Linked DNA regions of Caenorhabditis elegans. The protein of the gene in region 1 interacts with the protein of each later gene in a pairwise test. Each region holds a gene or a part of one and is shown in the gene's direction. Other genes may lie near its edges.

Region 1 (8,241 bases):
TGACTGCTTCCTCGTTTATTTTCCTTACGGTTATTATGTAGTTTCTAGCGATTTTTGCCGTTTTTATTTTTCTGTTAAACATGGTTTTAAATATGATTTTCTAACCTTTTGTCGGCCGGAAAAATGTAGAAAACTGATTTAAAACAATGTTCAACAGAAAATTTGAAAAACCACAAAATTTGCCAGAAATGAAGTAATTTCCTTGAGAAACGAGAAGGTGACCGGAAATATAAAAAAAAACTTCGAGACCTATCTGTATAAATCTTCGCTTTTTTAGGAAGGCATGTCAACATTTCTAGAAATCACGATATTCATTCCTATGGTATATATTTTTACAGAAAGAGGTCAATGCGTTCTCACAGTATGTGTGCAGAGTTACTGGTGTTGAAACTGGAATCATGGATTGGTGGGCTCGTCACGCCGGTCGCTTCCCTCGTCTGTACAAATATGCCAGAGAGCTTTTCATAATTCCAGCGTTTTCGATTGATGCCGCTTATTATCTCGGGTTAGGAAATTTTATTCGCTTAATTTCAATACAGTTGACATTTACAGAGAGTACGGTATCCTTACACATTCGATCAACGAATCAGATATCTCAAAAAGGAAAATGCTACTTCGTGCAGCGAGTGAATTAGTTGAATATCGGTAATTTTAATTCTTAGATCTCCAAAACTCATTATTATTTTATAGCTCGAAGGGATCTTTGATGTGCAAACCAATTTGCGTAAAGCGAAGAAAAGACGCCAATTCTCCTGAAGATGCTTGGTATCATGCAATCGATGTGAGAGCTCTACAGATTGTAGATGTACCATCAGACGAGCCTCCAAAACGAATGATTCCTCAACGAACGCCATTTGTGTATCAGAATCCAAACCCACTTCCACCGCATCGAATTCTACAATCGTTTCCCACAATTCGAACAAACAGAGAAGCACCACATGGAAGAAGTCTGAAAGATGAAATTGCAAAAATCGCTGCGAATAGACAGAAGATTCAGAGAGTGTACACTGTTGCTTCATCATCGCCGTACGCGAGGCCTGTTGTCGTTAAAACCGAATCCAAAGAGGGCATTGTTGAACAACTGACTCCATCGGCTCCTCCACCGAAGAGGTACTACGCAGTACGACCTGCGGCAGGCAATGGAACAAGTGTGATTCGCGGAAAAGATGGTCAAGTATTACGAGTTATCAGAAATACCCCTTCGTGAGCTGATCAATTAAAAAAAGAAAATATTCGATTTTTGAAATATCGAAAAAAAATGTTTCAGAAAATATTTTTTTTAAATCAATGTTTACGTTGATGAGAAAGCATAATAAAACATGAATATTTTCTAAAAAGCAGTGAAATTATTAAGAATTTTGAGCTATTTTTTGAAAAATCAAAAAAAAATTTCGAAATATCAGAAAATTGAAAGTTTTCGATTTTTCAAAAATTAAACAATTTTTGGTTTTTAATTTTAGTGAGAAATCAAACAACCGACATCCTTGTATCAAAGGTGTCGCCATAAAATGTTCGATTTTCCGGTATTTCTCATAGAAAATAGAAAAAGTTGTTCGGTTGTTTTTTTTTGGAAATAAAATTTTATTCAAAAAAAATACGAGGAAAGTATGTATAGATTTATCTCTCAAATCAGAGAAATGACATTATTCATAAAAATGAAATGTTTTCCAAAAGATCGAAAAACAAAATGTTCGATTTTTTAAAATAAAATTACATCCTTTCTGCTGATACCATTATTAACCTAAATTAAATATATTCAACTTTTCAGAGTCTCCTTCAACTTAAACACTCCTCTGACTGCATCGAAAAAGATGTATTTCATTCGTACAAAAACTGGTGTTACCCATCAGCTACATCAACCTCCACAATAATCCCAGCTCATACATCTGTACCTCAATTCACTTTAGTTATTTGTCACTAGTTGGTATTTTCATTGTTTTGTTTTTGTTATGCTACTTGTTTCGATATATCCGCATGTTGTTTCAAATTGACTATGCTAACGTTTTCTTTTCTCATCGACCAGTTTACTTCCCTGTTCTGTTTAATAGTTCTCAATCATGTTATTTTTCTCAATTTTTCTGAAGAGTATCTTATCATTTCTTTTTTTCTGTATTCCCAACTCACCTTGACATTTCTGAATTGTTGACCCAGCAAGAAACTTTGCATACCCTCTGACTGGTATTTCATATTTTTGGGAGAAAAAAAACGTTTCGAAAATTTGTGAATTATTATGTGAAAAAAAAAAAAAAAAAATTATCCTATCGCGTTTTCCTTTCTGCATCTAAGTCTCCAATGAGTCAGCACAAACACATTGCGAAACATTTTCTGTCTCTTTGGTATAAATAGAGAGTTTCCTCTCTTTGAAATGATTTGAAGGTTTTACTGATATCAACGTTATGAAATTTAGTCATCTCGTCGCGTTTCTTTTCGAAAAGTTTTGAATATTCAACTTTACGTTTTTTAGTTTTGGAAATTTCAGTGTGTTATTTCAGTTTATATAATGTTTCTGAATTTATTACAACACAAAATTATGAAAATGCGTAATGCGCTATCTGACTATCTGACGCGCAAAATATCTCGTAGCGAAGGCTACAGTAACTCTTTAAATAACTACAGTAGCTGTGGTGTCGGTTTACGGGCTCGACTTTTGAAACGTATTTATTCTCGAATAGTGATAAATAGCGATACTCTATTTTTCTTCGTTTCTTCGTATTATTTTCTCATTTTTGCTTAATATGATAAATTATATCTACATGATAAGTCAAAATGATCCCGTAAATCGACACAGGCGCTACAGTAGTCCTTTAAAGAATTACTGTAGTTTTCACTACGAGATATATTGCGCGTCAAATATGACATTAATAATATTTACAAAATACAGATGTTTTTTAAAAATATCTTTGTCTTTAGACAACTACTGCTATAATCTCTCATGCGTATATCGTATATTCGTTGAAATTTTAAAATTCAGTTTAAAGGCGCACACTATTTTTCTGTGTAGGTCTCGCCACGATCTCAGCTATAGTGATCGCTACAAGCTTCAAATTTCATGCATTGGTTCATTTAATGTAGAAATGTACGACCAGTTAGAAAAATACCAAACCAATATGTTGAATAAATTAACTTCAAGCCAGATTTTCTACAGTAAACATTAAGATTGTATCACCGTCCGTAAATCTATATATTCTTAGAAATGCAGCGATATTAATGATTAACAACAATTCGTGATATATACTTTCGTTATTTTAGAATTCCTAATATTTGAAAATACACACCTCTTAAAAAGAGTCATTTTCAGAAATGACCACCAACCCATCTGTCCACGAGTTCGAGACTCGTGATCTTAAAATTGCCGAGGTGAAAGTATTCACTGATAGAGCTGAAATCCGTCGTCTTGTCAAAGTTTCATTGAAATCTGGTGTCAATGAAGTTGTTCTCAAGGTTTGTAGAATATGAACAAGTTTTTCAAGTAGTTTTGAATTTAGAACCTCTGCAAAACAATGGCTCAAGGATCAATTAGAGTTGAAGGAAGAGGAAATGCAATCATTCATGATGTAGTTATTAAGAATGTTTCTCGTTTGCCAACTGAAGCTGATCCTCCAAAGGTTGGCAAGATAATTAAAATTCGAAAATATATTCTTTTTTTTAAGATCACCAATCTCAAAGCTGCCATTCTAGAGGAGAAAAATCGCCTCCAAAAAATCACAGATCGCGGAACGGTTGTCCAAAAATGCGTTGACAATTTGGACAAAGTTTTCGAACAAGTTGGTGGGGGTCTCGTGAATCCACCAAAAGATGGTGTTGCTTCTTTAAATGAAGGAACTTTGGAAAGTCTTACAAATTTCTTCCAATTCTATGGGAGCAACTCCGAATTATACAGAGAAAGTGAGTTTAAACGATAAATTTGAGATTTTAAAAAACTTAATTTTTTTTTCTAGAACTACGATCAGTTGAAGCTGGACACCGTGAGCAACAGGAAAAAGTTTCGAAACTGGAAAACGAGTTACGAGCTCTAATGCACAATTTGAATGAAGAAGCGTTCTCTCAGTGAGTTTTTGAAAAGTTTAAGGTGGAATTGTGCCAGTCGGGGAATTTACCAAAATATACTAAAAATGGGGCAAAAACAACTTTATATGTCTTTTCAAATCTTTCTTAATCTTAACTCAAACTTTTGGCAACATACCAAATTTTGAATCATTTAAAAAATTTGAAAAACTATCAAAAAACCCATAAAAATTTGAGGCGCACAATGAGCTATGCTTTGCTTTCTATGCACTATTTATTTTCAAATACAAATGGGATTACAGATAGATTTGAAGATATGCAAAAAAGCATCCAACCCTAATAAAAATTCGAAATATTATAAAGAAAAGTTCCATATGATTTTCCATCTATTTCTAGAAACAATTTATTTTTTGAGTCTTATTGTTTGACATTGTTAAGCTGTAGTATTTAAGATCACTGTTTGCCTATCTTCCCAACAAATTGATAACTTAATTTTAGCACTGCCACAATTACTTTGGAATGCACAGAAGACCTGGAAGCTGAGCTGAATGTAGTCTATCAAGTGTTAGATGCTTCGTGGCATCCATCATACGATATCCGAGTTGACACAGAGAAACCATCCATGAGCATTACATACTTTGGAAAAATCCGTCAATTCACAAAGGAAGATTGGACTTCTGCACCACTTGTTTTGTCAACTGCTCAGCCATGTCTTGCTGGCAGAATTCCAGATCTTGGAACTCTCGAAGCAACCTTCCGTCGTCCTGAAGTTCAACATTATCAAACAAGATCGATGAATGCATCAGCCTCATTATTTGGGGCGCGGGGACCGCAGAACCGTCGAGCCGAAACACTCGGATTTTCAGATGAAGTGACTTTGGCTCCACCAATGGCTGTCGCTGTTGCTTCAGAAATCACCCAAAACACGTTGAGCACAGAATTTAAAATTCTCAGAGAAGCAACAATTCCACACGGTACTGATGAACACAAAGTTACTATTGGAGTTGTGACTCTTACACCAAAACTTGTTCATGAATCCGTTCCAAGTAAGAATGCTGCAGCTTTTCTCACGGCTTCTGCTGTTAATACTTCTCAACTTGCACTCCTGGCTGGATTTTCATCTGTCTATCTGAATAATGCATTTGTCGCAACAGTAAGATTTTTTTGTTGAGAAAATTGATTTAAAACAAATTAAGTTGCTGAAATAACCAAATTTTAATAGTAAGAATTCTTCTATCGATTCAATCTTGTTTCACTCTGAACATACAAGAATGATCTGAATCTTTCAACAAAAAAAAAGAAAATTTCAAAACTTGGAAATTTGTCAAAACTCAACTAGAAGTCATTAAACCTCTAAAACATTGTATAATGAATGATATATGAAAATATTTAGTCTCATTGAATCAGTTTGAGTATATTTTAATAAAATCCAACTTTTAGAGTCACCTGAAAAACGTGTCACCAGGTGAAAGACTCACTTGCTCTTTGGGAGTTGACACGGCAATTCGTGTGGAGTACAAGCCGGCAAAGAAGTACCATGAGGAAGGAGGTTACATCACCAAGCACTCTGCAAATGTCACGGAGCAAACAATCTCCATCAAAAATACGAGAAATGAGCAGCCGGTGCTCCTAACCGTGAAGCATGCGATTCCACGTAGCACTGACGAGAAGATCCGTGTGAAGCTAGTTTCACCAGCAGCTACGCCATATGATGCGGAGAAGGCTGGCACTGAAGCCGAGAATTCTGAGCCTGTGGAAGGGGCAAAGTTCAATTCCAGCAATCACTTGGAGTGGACTATAAAGCTGGCTCCGAGCAGCTCAAAGGATCTGATCATCAAATATGTGGTGGAGCATCCAAAAGATGAAACTGTTCAATATCAAGAGAATTTCTAAAGTACATCCAACAGTGAATTGATACTTAAATGAAGTCGTCTATCTTTTACAGAAATTTTTGTTTTACAATTTTCCCATTTCCGTTTTATCGGTTTTCATTTTTTTAATGTTTTTTTTGCACTTTCTTCACCTCTAGTTATAATATGCCCATCGAATAATCTACGCTTATAGATGGCATCAATTTACGAACTTGACATTCGAAATCAGGAAATCAGTGGAATTACAATTCTCAGTGACCGAGCTGAAGTGAAACGACGGGTACCAGTTAATTTGAAAGCGGGAGTTAGTGAGATTTGTTTAAAAGTGAGTTTCTTTTTTTGAAAATCATTTTATTGAAATTCCAACACTTTAAATCTCAACTTTTGAATAATTTACATACAAAGACTAATATAAAACTCATTTTGTGTAGATTATCTTTCTGAAAAAGTTGTATATAAAAAATTATAGTAAAAATGAGCCAAATAAAATAAATATTAAAAAGAACATTTAAACATTATTTTGAAATTGTTTTTGAAACCTTTTGAAATGCTGGTAATTTGCAAAAATTTTGACTTTTTGGTGTATCAAAATGGTTACGCGGAGAACTAATAATAGTTTTGCAATAAAAATCTAAAAGTTCATAAAATAGATTGAGTTATATTATGGGATTTCTATAATTATTTTTTTTTTAATTATTATTTTCAAATCTTTAAAATCGCTATCAAAATATTTTCACGGCGTACCGTACCTAAAAATTCTTCGCGTTTAAGACCATTAGCCATTGTCGGGGAGTTTTCAAATGTTGCCAAGAAAGTTAGAGCTCAGCAGCATCTTTGCAACTTCATTGAAACTTACAACTGTTAGTAACTTATTTTGTAAGTTAACATTGAATTCCTACAATATATAAACTAATGAAATGTTTATTTAAAACTCCAAATTTTCAGAACTTCTCTGTATTTTTCCAAAGTGATTCTATTAGAGTTGAAGGTCGTGGGAAAGCAACAGTTTGTGATGTGAACGCTAAAAAACTCCCTTCTTTAAACTCAGAAACTGACTCCCCGAAGGTAAGTAAAAAAAAATCCCTGTTACATAGATTTTTGAAGCTACTTATGTATTTTAGATTGCCGAGTTGCGAAGTGAGCTTGACAAATACAATGCAATACGTAATAATCAAGAGGATCAGAGAGATATATTGAAAAAGAAAATAGGTGGATTAGAACGGACAGTAGGAAGAATTGGAAAAGGAATAATGAATCCTAAAAGAGAATCCGGAAGTGTTGTTATTGATGAGAACCTGCTGACAGGACTTCAGAAATTGTTAGATTTTCAAGAAACTGAAATGAATAAATTGAATGAACAGTTGCGGGAGAAAGAGCATGAGATCCTCAAAACAATTGAAATGGCGAGTAAGATTGGAAATGAGTTAAATCGCTTAGTGAATAGCGGAATTTCCAATATGTCTCAGTAAGTTTAAATATAACTTTATGTATCAAAACGTTCAATAGGACAGTTTGAAAAACGCTGAAATATTTATATTTCTACTTTGTTTAGTGCCTACAACTTACCAGAAAAATTTTTTAGGACGTGACAGTATCAAAATGTTTGTTGAAACTCAGGAAGTCTAATTTTCAGCACGGTCTTCATTACACTTGAAGCTTTCGAAGATGGCGACGTTGAATTGGATATAACTTATCAGGTTTTTCAAGCTGGGTGGCAGCCGTCTTATGATATTCGCGTGGATACTGAGAAACCAACAATGGCTATTACATATTTCGGAAAGATCTATAACCATTGTGGAGAAGACTGGAACGAATTTCCAGCTGTTTTGTCGACTGCTCAACCTAGTCTCGGAGGACAGATTCCTGAACTAGGTGTTCTCGATGCTCACTTCTACAGACCTGCACTAAAGATGAGGCGACAACGTGGCCTGAGAATAATGAATAGAAGAGGTGGGCCTCGTATGTTGTCCAATTATTCCAACGAGATTGATGATGGTGTAGAAGAAGTACTTCAAACAATGGCTCCACCTCCAATGGAAGTCACAAAGAACACTTTGAGTACAGAGTTTAGAATCGCACGGAAAGCGACTATTTTAAACGGTGTAGACGATCATAAAGTGACTATCGGCACTATTGAACTGATACCATCACTTTTACATCAAAGTGTTCCATCCAAAAATGCATCAGCGTTGTTGACAGCTTCAGCAGTCAATACTTCTGTACTGCCACTTTTGAGTGGTGAAACTTCAATCTTTTTGAACAATGCTTTTGTTGCAAAGGTGAACGATTGTATCAAATTTTCATAGTTTTCTCTCAAAAATATAATAGTGTAGGATCCCGTTAAACAGATGCTTTCCAAAAGTGC
Region 2 (6,213 bases), on another chromosome or scaffold:
GTTGAAATTGGTTAAAAGTTTTTAAATTTAAAAAATTCTATGGATAGTTCCAGAATAACTGTTTTTTAAGGTAGAGTAGCAAAATTTGTGCTCAAATTTAAAACAAAAACGTACAGTATCGGCCAAAACTCTTCTCGTTTTCAGTTTTTTTATGTGATTGTGCTTGAGTTGTTCAAACACGCATAACTGAAAAACTATGATATTAGCAAAATATTTTCAACTAAGAAAATGTTGCCAATTACTTGTTTTACATGTTTCCTAGTATCAAAATTATAAAACTTCATTTCAAAGAATTTTACAGCAGCTGACATCAGGTGGGTCTATTTTTTATAGTGACCCACATCTAGGGATTTTTTTGAAGCAAAGTTAATCCACAGATTTTTCTACATCGTCCAATTTATTTCTCTGTCACAACCAGGAACATTTATACTTAACATTAAACAAACATAACGTCAGAATCAAGTGTCTCGTTTTTTCCAGTTTTCCCATGATGCCTATAACCTTTCTTAGGATCTCACTGGCATGTTGCCAAGACGCAGCTGTTTGAATGTTAAAAACGATACAATCTGCCTATTTATTTTCCATGCACACATCGTCACGACATTAGAACATCTGTTTGTCCATTGTTTCCAAATTATGTATCGATTTAATTTCTAATCCCTCCTCCAAGGGCCCCACACACATTCTCGCTCTAATAATTGCTTACTCATTTTTTTTTTGCAGTGTGACACATTCTCCCCTCTTTACTCCTCTTCGCTCTTTCCCATGTTCGAGGTCAGCACGCTCGTTTGGTGTCCCAAACGCCTGCGTCTCTCGCACGCGACCGAGTTTTGAATTTAATTCTAAACCGCAGCGCGACCGCGTCGCTCTAACGAACGGATCTCTCCGTATCTAGTTCAGGGAGTTTTTCTGACATTTGCTTGTTTGTCTCACACCAGTTTCATACGATATTTGAATTGGTCTCTGGATTTTTTTGAAAATTTTTTTCTTTTACTTTTTTATTTTTTGCTTTGTATTTATATTATAAAAATGTATAAATTTTCAGAATGAGTGGAGAAGTTGGATCCAACGAATGCCTTGTTTCTACCAATGAAGTTCAAGAAGATTCTCCAGCTGTGACCGAGTCATCAAGTACGTTTTTTTTTGCCTTTTAAATTGTAGTATTATTCAAGATAATTTCAGTTTTTAGAATCCAATAAATCTGACTAATTCATTAAAAATTATCTTTTTCAGGCGCCAACGGATCTTCACCAGTTCGTCGCGGACGCGGACGTCCACCAAAGGGAACCAAGGTCCCAAAAGTCAAGCCGGCTCCAAAGCCGTATTCTGGAGCACCACGTGGCCGCCCACGCAAGTCTGACCAAGTTGCCAAGTCTCCAGTTGCCAAGTCGCCAGTTGCTTCATCGTCCGCCGATGCTTCTCCAAAGCGTTCTCGTGGAGCACCAAAGAGCTACGCTGAGGATGTTGCTGCAACGAAGCCAGCCAAGACTGATGTCGCCACACCGGCTCTTGCTGCTTTGACTGGAGAGAAGAAGGGACGTGGACGCCCAAAGAAGAATTAGATCCAAGGATCTTCATTAACGGTCTCCTCTTCGTCTCATTTTAAGATACTCCGACCTTTTCACTTTTAATTTCCTGAGCCATTATTTATGTATTTATGATTTTTGAACGTCAAGTGAGTGTGAAAATAAATAAAATTAAATTTTCAATGCAATTCGATCTCAAAGACCTCTTATCAACCAAAATGATTTCGAGCAAGTCAAAATGAGCAGCTTCAAGTGGTGTCAGGCTGTCCCATCGCCCCACTGCACACAAACAGCGGGAAATAGTTCTTCAACTTTTGTGACGTCACAGCGCAATTTTGAATATGTATTCTCCCGCCTTTCGTGTGCAGTGGAGCGATGTGACAGTCTGACACCACGTGAACGGAGGAATACGGTGCCCCGATTCGAAACGAATAAAATTTTGTAGCTACCGTAAGGTTATATATTTTTTCTATTTTTTGGTGGGGTTTGCCAGGCGTAAAGACAAATCAACTAATTATTTTCACTCGAATTTGGAACTAACAATTTATGTAGATTTTCCAAATTTTGAAAGCTTCCATAACCACCGAGTGCAAGCAGAAACAGTGTATTTTCAGTCATACCTTTTATGAAACATTTTGAGATTGAATGGAACTGACCATTATATATATTTCTGCGTTTTTTTGAAATTTTCATTTTTCGGTGAGGTTTGCCGGGTATAAAAACTAATCAACTAATTATTATCACTTGAATTTCAGAAATTATCAAAAACTTAATGGGTGTGTCCATCAGCAAATTTCATAATCTCTTTTGTAGCCGAACTTATGTTATCAGTTCTTCCGTACTTTCCCGATGCCATTATTTAAACTAATCAGTCGCTGATAGTTTGCTAGTTTACTCAATTTGTGAAATGCACTTTTCCTTCATTTTCCTGGTACTGGTGTACCTGACATTTGCCTTTGGTGACTCTTTGATCTGTAACAACGGATTTACTGTAGTAAACTCTAACAAGTGCTTGAAGCTGTTTAGCTCAGCGGTGAAGCACCGGACAGCTGAAGCCAACTGCGCATCTTATGGAGGAACTCTAGTGAATATTAGAAATTCTATTGTGAGTTGATTTACTAAAATCATACTTTTTTTGTGACCAAATTAAAAAAAATCTCTCGATATCCAGGATAACCGAGCAGTCACCCAGTTTGTTGGAAATATTGGCTTGAGCTTCTGGATTGGTGTCTACTGCCTGGAATCCAATAATCCATCTTCTTGCTATTTTGATGATGACCTAGGAACTGATACCGCTTTCAACAATTTTGCAAAAGGATTTCCAAATACCGATATTGGAGGATGTGTCTACAGTGCAACTAGTGGGTCTTTGGCTGGACAATGGATTAGTTCAGAGTGTGATAATGTGGAAATGGCATATGTTTGTGAAATTCCGATGACAAGAGCAGGTAATTGTGACTTCATAGTAAAAATTATTTTAAGCAACAATAAATTTGATTTAGTTTCGAAATTTTGATAAGACAGAAACGTGACTTCTTGGAAGAGTACAAGAGTTTATTGAGAACTTATTGGGCTTCAGGAGTTGATCACAAACTGTCAATTGTGCTCAAAAAGTGAGACCGACCCTTTTCTATATTTTAGTAACACTTTTAGTACCTGATTCCGATAAGGATATATCTAATTATGAAATGTGTTTCTAAGAAGACCCACATTTGGCCACGGACTTGTTCCAATCGGTCATCTTAAATTGTTTCTTCCTCCCCCACTATTCAATCGTTTGTTTTATATTTTGATTTTTGTCTGTAATTGATTGCTTTTTTTGAAATTTTGAATGGTTGAGAAGAAATAAACAAATATAATATAAAAAAGATAAACCACCTCTCTACTTCTCATTTAATCTTCCAGAATTTCAGATTCCTGCGCTCACAATTACAATGGCTACTGCTACATAATGTCTCATGAAAACTCGACATCTCCCATCCTTTCATTCAATGATGCCTACAAATCCTGTCAAGACAACTGTGCAAACCTGGTCTCTATTCACTCGAGAAGAGAGCTCAGCTACATTCAAGGAATCTACAGCCCATTCAATATATCGAGTGTTACAATTGGCGGTCTATCAACGGCTCCCATGGCTCCATATTGGTCTGATCTTAGCCACTGAGACTTTGCTCACATAAACCCTCGTACTGGAACCACTGGAAACTGCTTTCAAATGGCAGTTAAAACTGATTTAACTTGGTCAAAATCTGATTGTGCAGCGACTCAGTATTTCCTGTGTAAACGTCCAACTGGTATAACCTGTGGACCACCAACGCCAGCCCCTCCTGTGATTATCACACCAGCGCCAACGAATCCATCAGGATGTAACTCAACTGCTCTTTTTGATGCCGGAACAATTACTTCGCCCAATTATCCTAGTACTTTTCCAATCCCCTCATATTGTGTTTATAAGTTGACAACTCTTGGTGCATACCGTATTGGCATATATTTCTCGGATCTCTCCATGTCCCAAAATTCATACGTTCTAGTGTATGACTCAAATGGATCACTGATTGTTTCTCTGACGCGATCTTCATCGTTGGGAAACTATTACAGCAGCTCCAACACAATGACTGTCTCTTTCACAAGTGGGAATTATAATGGATATCGTGGATTTTCAGCAAAATTTTTATCCTTCTAACTAAAAAATCATAAAATAATAAATCATTGGAATTATTTTTAAGAGTTTTCCACAAAGAAGCTTCAGAGTTTTGAAAAAAAAAGTCACGAGAATCGTATCTTTTTGATCCGCAATCATATTGGACCAACAAGTAGGTACCCAGACTCATTGACTCATCTTCACGAGTGCACAAGCAGCTGACTACCAATCACTTGTCACCGTAAATTCTCGTTCTCTAAACTTCTGGTCTATGATTGCATCGGCTATGATCATGATCAACATCAAGTTTACAAGTTATTATATTATTTACTAATGTGTTTTTTGGATTTTTGGCTTTAGAAAATAACAATTTTGAGCACTTGTGGGTATTTTGCTCTGCATCAAAAAAACCTTTAAACCGATCTTTAGTTGGAAAAATTGATTTGAAATATTTAAAAATGAGTCGACAGAATTTTGTGACTTTGGGGGCTGAAATTTCGAATTTTTGAAAGAAAATAAAATGAGAAAGTGATAAAAATAATTAACCCAAAAATTCCCGCGGACATCAATTCCAAGTTAGTTCACACCAAATTGGTAATCGTTGACAAGCATTTTTACGAAATGAGCCAATATTTGTTATTAAAATTTAGTTACAGAGTCTAGAAAAAACATTTGCTTTAATTTCAGTTGGAACAGTTTTAAAAAATGCTCAAAAATTGTCTGAAAGTCGGAAGTTACAGGAAAAAATGTCGCATTATTTGTCAATTTTTTCCATCAATTTTCAACTTTCAAACTATACGTGAGCGTTTTTCAAAATTTTCAACTGAAGTTAAAGCTATCAAATGTTTTTTAATGCTCTATCAATAAATTAAAATGAAATAGTCCAATTTCAATTCATTTTTTCAAATTCAAATTTCTTATTGAAATCTTATTCACTTTTTCTCGAATTCCCCAATAACTGGTTTTTATCAGAAATCAAGAATGATATCACTTTCAATTGACAAATGAGACAATTGACGACGGCAGAAATTGTGAGGTCATTGGTTTTTGGCAGGAAATCTAATTTTTAACAAATAAAATTCTATAGTCTATTGTTACAGAGAACACATTAACTAGTATTCGAGTAGTTTGGACCCATTGATAAACAATATTGATAAGGTTTTCGCGATCTGTTCATTTTGCATGTAGATATTGTCTTGATATTTACTAGGTTTATATAATGCGATTTTCAAACATTTGTGAAAATATTTTTCTTTAATCCTTTAACCATGATCCGTTTGCTAAAAAATAGCTGTGAACCTCAGCAATTGACCATGTTTTTCCGTAGTTTTTTGAAACTTCACCAACGTCACGAATTGTTTGTTTTTGTAGGAGTCTTGGCCATTTGAACATATTGGTTAGCGGAATAACACAAAAAACAGATAAATTATCTAATCTTGTATTTAGGTGGAGTGCTTTGTTTTGAAAACCTATCCGCCAACGTTTTTTTTTTAAATTTCTATTTCACTTGCATTCAATGATATCCTATTCAAATAAAAACATTTTACACCAAAAATTAAACTGATGCAGTAGCATTTCTCTGAAATCTTTAGATCAGAAAATGGTTTGTCAAAAATTATACCATTTTTCTAGATTGTATGACTTGGGCAACCAGCTATCCACCCCCATCTAAAAATTTGCATTAATTAGCATGTATTTTTCCTCTCGTTCACAAAATCTGAATCGATTTCCTAGCGGGTCTAGTTTTATGTGTGCTAATAATTTTTGATCTACACATAAATTCGTTTTGATTTTTTGACCTTTTCTTCTTTTTCATTTTATGTTATTTGCCATAGAAAGTAAATTTGAAAATATTTTATCAAACCGAACATCAACCCTGCCTTTGACCGACGTTATTTTAAATTGTAGCCTAAAAAACCAGATTTCCAAATATTTTTTCTCCCTTCGCGTTTCTCTATTTTCCATCTCAATTTTCTGGATCAATGATTTTTTTCAAGTTCCGAATTTTCAGATGCGGTTAAGTATCCAAACCATTCTCTCAATAAT
Region 3 (7,303 bases), on another chromosome or scaffold:
CACAATGCACAGCTCCCGAGGAAAAGTCTCTAATGACATCCGATAGGGAATACTTTCCGGTTTTGGAGAAAACGCTTCGAGGATTCAAATTTTATCATGGGTTTCTGCCACGCGAAGATCTACAAGCCACGTTGCACAATCCAGGAGATTATTTGATTCGTGTGTCGGAAGTAGTTGAAGGAGAAAGCAAAGTCGTTCGGGAGATCATTTTATCACTGATGACGGGCCATATGGAAGGAAAACAAAAAGAGAAAAGGGTAAGTTGAGTGAAGTAAAGTTTTGAAACAAATAACCATATTTTTAGATTCATAATGTGGTGATTAAACGTGTATCCAACAAGTTTTTCTGTGAAGCAGCACGCCCATTCGCTACTGTAGCCGATCTCATCAACTACTACACAAAGCACACTGGTCATTGCTCTTCTGGAAATTTTCAACTGAAACACCCGATTCTTCAGCAAACATGGGAATTCATGCACTCGGATGTGACAGTTGGAGATGTCCTTGGTGAAGGAGCATTCGGAAAAGTGTGCGCTGGTGAACTGAGGCTCAAAGATGGAAGTTCAGCAGAAGTAGCAATCAAGATGACCAAAGCATCTGCATTTTTGAGCAAAATGAAGATTAAGGAGATGATGAATGAAGCAAGGTTCATCAGAAACTTCAATCATAAAAACGTCGTACGCCTATATGGAGTTGCTCATGATGAGCAGCCACTGTACATTCTACTTGAGTTGGTCAAAGGTGGATCCTTGCAAGATTACATGAAGCAGACGAAATCGGTGCCCCTGGCGGATCGAATCAATTTTTGTCTTGGAGCTGCAAAGGGTCTTGCGTACTTGCATCAAAACAATTGTATCCATCGGTGAGCAGGTTTTTTGTTGGAAAATCGATTGAAAACTTTTCAGGGACATCGCCGCCAGAAATTGTCTTCTTCACGAGAACGAGGTCAAGATCACCGATTTTGGATTATCTAGAGCTGGACCATCTTATACAACAAAGACATCTTGTAAGATTCCTATAAAGTGGCTCGCGCCTGAAACCTTGGCTACTCTGAGCTTCTCATATGCAACTGATGTTTATAGGTTAGTTTTATCAACTATTGAGGTATAGACAAGTGTTCTTTCCAGCTGGGGAGTCACTTGCTACGAAGTCTTCGTCGACGGTGCTGAACCATTTGAAGGTGTCTCGAATGCAACTATCAAGGCTGATATCATGGCTAACAATTTCTATCCAATGCCATCAATGACTCCAGACGAAGTAAAAGAGTACATGAGCAGTTGTATTTTTGTCGAAGAATCTCGTCGAGCCACAATACCATTGGCAGTTGCAGAATTTGAACGATTTGCTCGAATGTGTGAAGATGGGACATTACAGATGGGAAAAGCGAAAAATAGGCTTCTGGCAGTTTTCAAAAACAATAGTGATAGAAGCAGAAAAAGTCAGAGAAGCAAGAGGACGAAGAAGAAGAAGGAAGTGCCAAAAGAGGAGTGAACTGTTTTTATGATTCTTTCTACTTGAATAAAAATTGAGCATATGCTTTTTTTCAAAAAAAAAATAGACAAACATCTTAATAAAAATCCAAGATTCGAGCTTTGCTGGTATCATATTTTTCTCATTGGGGCGACATTTGGGGTACATTTCCGAATAAAATAAGTTGCATTATAAGTTTTTTTTTTTTATTTATTTTTGTTCATATTTCTCTGTGAATTGATTTTTCAATTAATGCTATTCCTGAAAAAATTATACAGATTTCCTTTCTGAATTAAATATTTGAATTATTTTTATATGGTTCCGTCTACATTCCGTTTTACACAACTTTTTTCAAAAAAAAACTTTATTTTAAAACATTCAAATGAATATGATCATTGATTAATTTATGGGTGATATGGTGGTGGTGATGCAGTAAGGCATTGGCTCTTCTTTGTCGGCTCACATTCATCTACCATTTCATCGATTGTCTCCTCACTTCCAACCACAATCCGTGCATTACATGCTAATCGATTCCCGGTCAGTGATCCATTTCTTAGGGTAAATCCCAACAGGTATCCCATTGAGATCATTGGAGATTCGAAAGTTGGCGGGAGTCCATTTGGCAGATCAATCTCCACATTGATATATTTCACCTCACCAGGTGCGACGTCACAACTGTAATTGGCTCCGCGGAGCACTGTTTCACCATCTCTTCGATATTTGGATTCAATTGGGCAGTCGGAGTGACAATCGTTAAGAGAACACAATGATTTCTGTGGGCGAGAGTGGTAATGGGATTGTTGAATGAGCTCGAAACGAAGATTAATGATTGGTTTTGTTGAATGATTCTCCATGATGGCAAGTGCTCGGATTGTCTCCCCTGCGAGGAATGCTCGTTTGGAAAAGTGAAGCTAAAATATAATGAGTGAATTTTTTGACTCTACTTTTGAAATTGAACAATACCTTCAACAAAAACAATCCATCTTTGAAAATCGTTCCAGAATTCTTCGACTTGACAAATTCCGCGTACTTCATCATTTTTGGCTCAGAAAGTGTCAGATTTGTCTTCTGAACCACACGGAATGTATTCATCATTTTTAACTTGAGTCTCCACGGACGATCAAATTCCACAGTAACAGAATACTCAATTTCTCCAAACATTCCGCAAAAACTTGGCGGAGAATTTTCTGGAAGTCGGAATCGGAAACGTGATTTGAGAGTTCCAGCGGGGATTGTGTCCTGAATGGGAATATTTTGAAAATATATTTATTAAGTATTAAAAACTCACAACTCCATCTTTGGCAATCCATCCCATAAATGTTCCGGCAAGATGGCGTTGGACATTTGAGCTCTCCGATCCTCCAAAATTACACTTTGATTCTCCTTTCCACGTGATTTCCATATATCGTGCAGAAATTGGATCTTTTGTTGTGAGCAACACTTTTCCAGAGACATAGTCGCCAGGCAGGTATGTTTTGGAAGGATTGGAGAAAACAATGTTCACAGACATAATTCAAAAGGGAGAGATCGAGATAATAAAAGACTGACTGAATGAGACAGATTCTACGTCGTTGTAATCAACTTTCAGCGTTTGTGGGCGGAGTTTCCCATCTTGCTCGGAGAGTGTGGAGGTGATGTGACAATATAGAAAGGTGGTAGATTGCCACCTGCTCTTTTATGAGAATTCCAAATCGATATTGTAATTTTTCTGCACCAACGAAGAACAGTGTCGGTGTAAAAGTCGTGTTTGTTATGGAAAAACGTATTTTCAGATTTTTATCTCCAATTTTCAAAAAGATCTGCATAAAAGAGCAAAATGCCAACAATGCCATCAAGTTTCCAACGTCTTCTTGATATCCCACCTACAATTTGAAACTGAAGAATCTGATAGTGGCACAAAGTCCGAAGGTACAGCTCATAGGTGAAATGCTCAAATAAAGAGAAAATAAACGAATTTTTATTGGTTTCAGCGCCCCAACATACAGCAAAGATCTGAATACAATTCGTTCAAGACTTTCAAAGTTTGTAAGAGGAGGTCAAAAGAAAGTGACAAAAGCAGAAGACAACGATGATTGAATTGTTCTATTCCATTGATCTCATCGAAATTTGATAATATTTTGATAATAAATAATTTATCAATTTAATTAATATAACAACGTGACATCGTTTGTACTTGTTTTATTCAGAAAAAAATTACAGAAAAATAAAAAGTGAAAACAAAAACTGACTCAGTTCTAAATATTTTCTTATCGATAGCTCTTTCGTATCCGCAACAATCCATTCGGAGTAAGTTAACATTCAGATTGCGCGTTGGGTCTGACAATGAGGGCATAGTGACTCTACCAGTTACTAGAGAAGCGGACTGCATTGACATGAACTTCTTACAGATGACAACCAACAACAATAGTTTTCATGTAAAAGGAAAAGAAGAAGTACAATTCGAACGGAAGAATGTGGTTGTAGCATGTGATGTGGTCAATGGGAAGGTAAATGAGGGCTCATTTCGTTTTTGTTTGTTGGGAAATGTTTCTGAAATAATTTATTGAGATGGAAATACATTTCTTTTTGAATAATGTATTCAACGTAGGGCTCGCGCTAAGAGCTGAAACGAGCACAATTTTGTCGGCATTCCTGATGTGTTTAACATTCGAAAATTCCTTAATTTTTCATAAATACGAAGTTTGGGCTATTAAAAAACTCATTTTCAATTCAAAAATCGAAGAGATCTTGAATAATCACATTTGAGATCATATATGTGGACGTGAGTAGCCAATTGATGGGTGTTCTATTTGCTGGTGATGAGATTTTGAACGTCAATGGAGAAACCGTAAGGAATATTTTAAGATCCGTTTCCGCTTCCGTTTCAACTAATCCAAATGTTCAGAACATAAAGACAACTGCTGACTTTATCCGTGCAATCAGTGCAAAACTTCCTGGAAAAGTGACAATTGAGTTCATGCGAGATGATCATTGCCTTGTCACTGAAAAACCATTGCCACCTCGTCGTCCAAATACTCAGATGGTTGAGTTGACTTTCACTTATCGTGGAGGTGCTGCAACAGGGATTATTATTCATAGAGTCAGTAATCGGGACACTTGAAACTTTTAAAGATGGTTTCCAGATGGCAGTTGATCCAAAAACTGTAACTATTTCAATGGTTCAGTCGGCTTCCAATGCGTGTCACTATGTCAAAGGTGGAGATATTCTTGTCAAAGTTAATGACATTTATGTTCTTGATCGTGACTCTGCTAGAAAAGTATGATATCTTCCGAAACACAAATGGCTACTATTATCGCTCTTTCAGCTTCTCTATGCGAGTGTCAACAACACAAAAACGGTACGTCTTACATTGGAAAGATCCACAAATACTGATCCACTCGGCCCTGCTCCACTGCCTCCCGATGGTGCACAGAGTACTGCTGTTGGAGTGAAGAAAGCTGGAAATTCAGTGATGCTTCCACCTCCAAAACCACCCCAAGGAAAAGCCAACAAGCAGTTTGATGTGGTCAGTTTAAACCCATTTTCTTTTATCACTTCACTTAAATATAGAAACATGTTTTCATTTTCTTCTTTGCAGCTTCTTCCTTCTGATGTTTTGGAAATTATGAAGACAAACAAGATTTCTACAAGAAACCGTGCACGAATCCTCCATGTATTATCAAATCAGCCGTTGCACCAGCTCCAACTCCAGTTCCAGCCACCTTGCCATCGGAGCCTGCCCCAGAAGTTCGTATCCCATACATTCCGTCTCCGAAGCCCCTGAAAATGACTCCAAAACGTCTGGGATCTTAACTTGAGGAAGATATTCGGAATAAATTTGTTCGAAAAAAGTTACTTTGAAGTGATTTATGAATTTTTAAAGTTTTGAAAATCTACCTATTTTGCCAATAAATTGTCATTTTCATTTGATAATACACACTTAAAGATACGGCTGAAAATGTACATGACAGTAAAATATACTGTGAAGCCAGAGAGTAAAATATACTGTGAAGCCAGAGAGTAAAATATACTGTGAAGCCAGAGAGTAAATTATTCTGTGAAGCCAGAGAGTAAAATGTACTGTGAAGCCAGAGAGTAAAATATACTGTGAAGCCAGAGAGTAAAATATACTATGAAGCCAGAGAGTAAATTATTCTGTGAAGCCAGAGAGTAAAATATACTGTGAAGCCAGAGAGTAAATTATTCTGTGAAGCCAGAGAGTAAAATATACTGTGAAGCCAGAGAGTAAATTATTCTGTGAAGCCAGAGAGTAAAATATACTGTGAAGCCAGAGAGTAAAATACTGTGAAGCCAGAGAGTAAATTATTCTGTGAAGCCATGAGTAAAATATACTGTGAAGCCAGAGAGTAAATTATTCTGTGAAGCCAGAGAGTAAAATATACTGTGAAGCCAGAGAGTAAAATTTACTGTGAAGCCAGAGAGTAAATTATTCTGTGAAGCCAGAGAGTAAAATATACTGTGAAGCCAGAGAGTAAAATATACTGTGAAGCCGGAGAGTAAATTATTCTGTGAAGCCAGAGAGTAAAATATTTCTAAACAACCCAAGAAACGAGTTCTCTAAAATTGTGTCGGGTATCAGAACTGATTGATAAGTTTATTGAAATTGAGAGCAATACATTTAACTTTACTAATTTATTACTTTCAAAAATCAAGTATCCCATTGATAACTGTTCACTTCTTTGCAGCGTTCTGATTCTTTGGATCCAGTTGATTTTCAGCAGAATTGAAAGCTCTAACCAGTGGCACCGACTTCAATTCATCATTCAATGGTTTTAAAGTCGATTCGGACCGTTTCTGAGCCAGTGGTGGTGGGTCTTCAGTTGACTCAGCAGAAAAAGCACGATTGATGATAGCCATTTGAGCGAATTCTTCAGCAGTTTTCTGATAAGTTTGTATATTAAAAAGTTACTTTTCGGAAAGTGCAAAACGTTGCCTGCTGCTGGAATCGAACTAGCGTCGCCACGGCCACAACGTGGAGTACTAACCACTTCAAACTTATTAAGTCAAAATGCGCAGTTTTCATTCCTCAAGATACAGAGTTTACAGTATTGCATAATTAATAAACTACAAAATATTCCATAAACTAACCTTCTTCAACTGATCTTTGGCATTTTCTGCTTCGCTCCCTTTCATTGGTGACTTGTTTTCCATTTTTACTTGTTTCGATGCGAGGATTTTTTCGCAAAACTATTGTTGGAAAATAATTTGCAACTGCTTGAAGCCGTCTATCAAACGAATCGCCACGTGGTATATATGAAATCAATATTTCCAAGGTCACGCAAAGCTTTTTCACTTTGTTCGAGTGTCCTACGAATAAAAATAATATTTTTTAGAATGTGGCTCACTCGGCATTTGGCTCTAGCTTCTTGCCTAAGTTAGCCCAAAAAATATTATGGGCAAAAGTTAGGCAAGACTTTGGCAAAACTTGGATTCAAGCTTTACCAAACTCTAACCCAAGTTTCACCCAACTTTTGCCAAACTTTGGCCCGAACTTTTCTTATTTCGTTTCAAACTTGGGCCAAAGTTTGGCAAGAGTTGGGTGAAACTTGGGTTAGACTTTGGTAAGGCTTGAATCCAAGTTTTGCCAAAGTCTTGCCTAACTTTTGCCCAAGTTTAGACAGCTTCTGATCCAAGTTAATATTTTTTGGGCTAAACTTGGGCAAGAAGCTAGAGCCAAATGCCGAGCACTTCTTGAGAACAGGTATTAACCGGAAAATAACAATACACCTACATTTAATCAAAAAGTAGAGACAAACCGTATTTCTTCTATTAGTAAGGCATGCAAATCTAATTTTCGGACACCTAATTTGATGCAAAACTAATAGAGGTGCAA

What was found. Proteins that work in one complex are often made in the same cells at the same time.
Region 2: the proteins of ZK1055.7 (region 1) and T05A7.3 interact in a two-hybrid assay, tested with the Caenorhabditis elegans proteins (one large-scale study listed by BioGRID).
Region 3: the proteins of ZK1055.7 (region 1) and mpz-6 interact in a two-hybrid assay, tested with the Caenorhabditis elegans proteins (one large-scale study listed by BioGRID).

The regions. Positions count from the first base shown.
Region 1 is NC_003283.11:6,600,433-6,608,673, reverse strand, and holds ZK1055.7 (Protein F37C4.5), read left to right. Parts: upstream 1-3,298; 5' UTR 3,299-3,300; coding exon 3,301-3,441; intron 3,442-3,485; coding exon 3,486-3,605; intron 3,606-3,650; coding exon 3,651-3,885; intron 3,886-3,938; coding exon 3,939-4,047; intron 4,048-4,503; coding exon 4,504-5,158; intron 5,159-5,445; coding exon 5,446-5,898; 3' UTR 5,899-5,938; downstream 5,939-8,241. Other genes in the region: gon-14 (HAT C-terminal dimerization domain-containing protein), read left to right, coding at 339-505, 553-645, 691-1,203, 1,769-1,871; ZK1055.6 (Protein F37C4.5), read left to right, coding at 6,070-6,201, 6,822-6,941, 6,998-7,341, 7,510-8,155.
Region 2 is NC_003280.10:4,672,040-4,678,252, forward strand, and holds T05A7.3 (CUB domain-containing protein), read left to right. Parts: upstream 1-3,741; coding exon 3,742-4,209; downstream 4,210-6,213. Other genes in the region: hmg-11 (HMG), read left to right, coding at 1,047-1,131, 1,234-1,562; clec-140 (C-type lectin domain-containing protein), read left to right, coding at 2,434-2,631, 2,698-2,974, 3,440-3,690; T05A7.1 (uncharacterized protein), read left to right, coding at 6,179-6,213.
Region 3 is NC_003280.10:9,403,530-9,410,832, reverse strand, and holds mpz-6 (PDZ domain-containing protein), read left to right. Parts: upstream 1-3,712; 5' UTR 3,713-3,755; intron 3,756-3,856; coding exon 3,857-3,955; intron 3,956-4,215; coding exon 4,216-4,296; intron 4,297-4,353; coding exon 4,354-4,548; intron 4,549-4,591; coding exon 4,592-4,726; intron 4,727-4,774; coding exon 4,775-4,975; intron 4,976-5,047; coding exon 5,048-5,233; 3' UTR 5,234-5,299; downstream 5,300-7,303. Other genes in the region: M176.9 (Tyrosine-protein kinase), read left to right, coding at 1-257, 305-861, 905-1,081, 1,127-1,490; arrd-2 (Arrestin C-terminal-like domain-containing protein), read right to left, coding at 1,874-2,380, 2,433-2,708, 2,758-2,979; Y51B9A.5 (Ovule protein), read right to left, coding at 6,142-6,351, 6,559-6,621.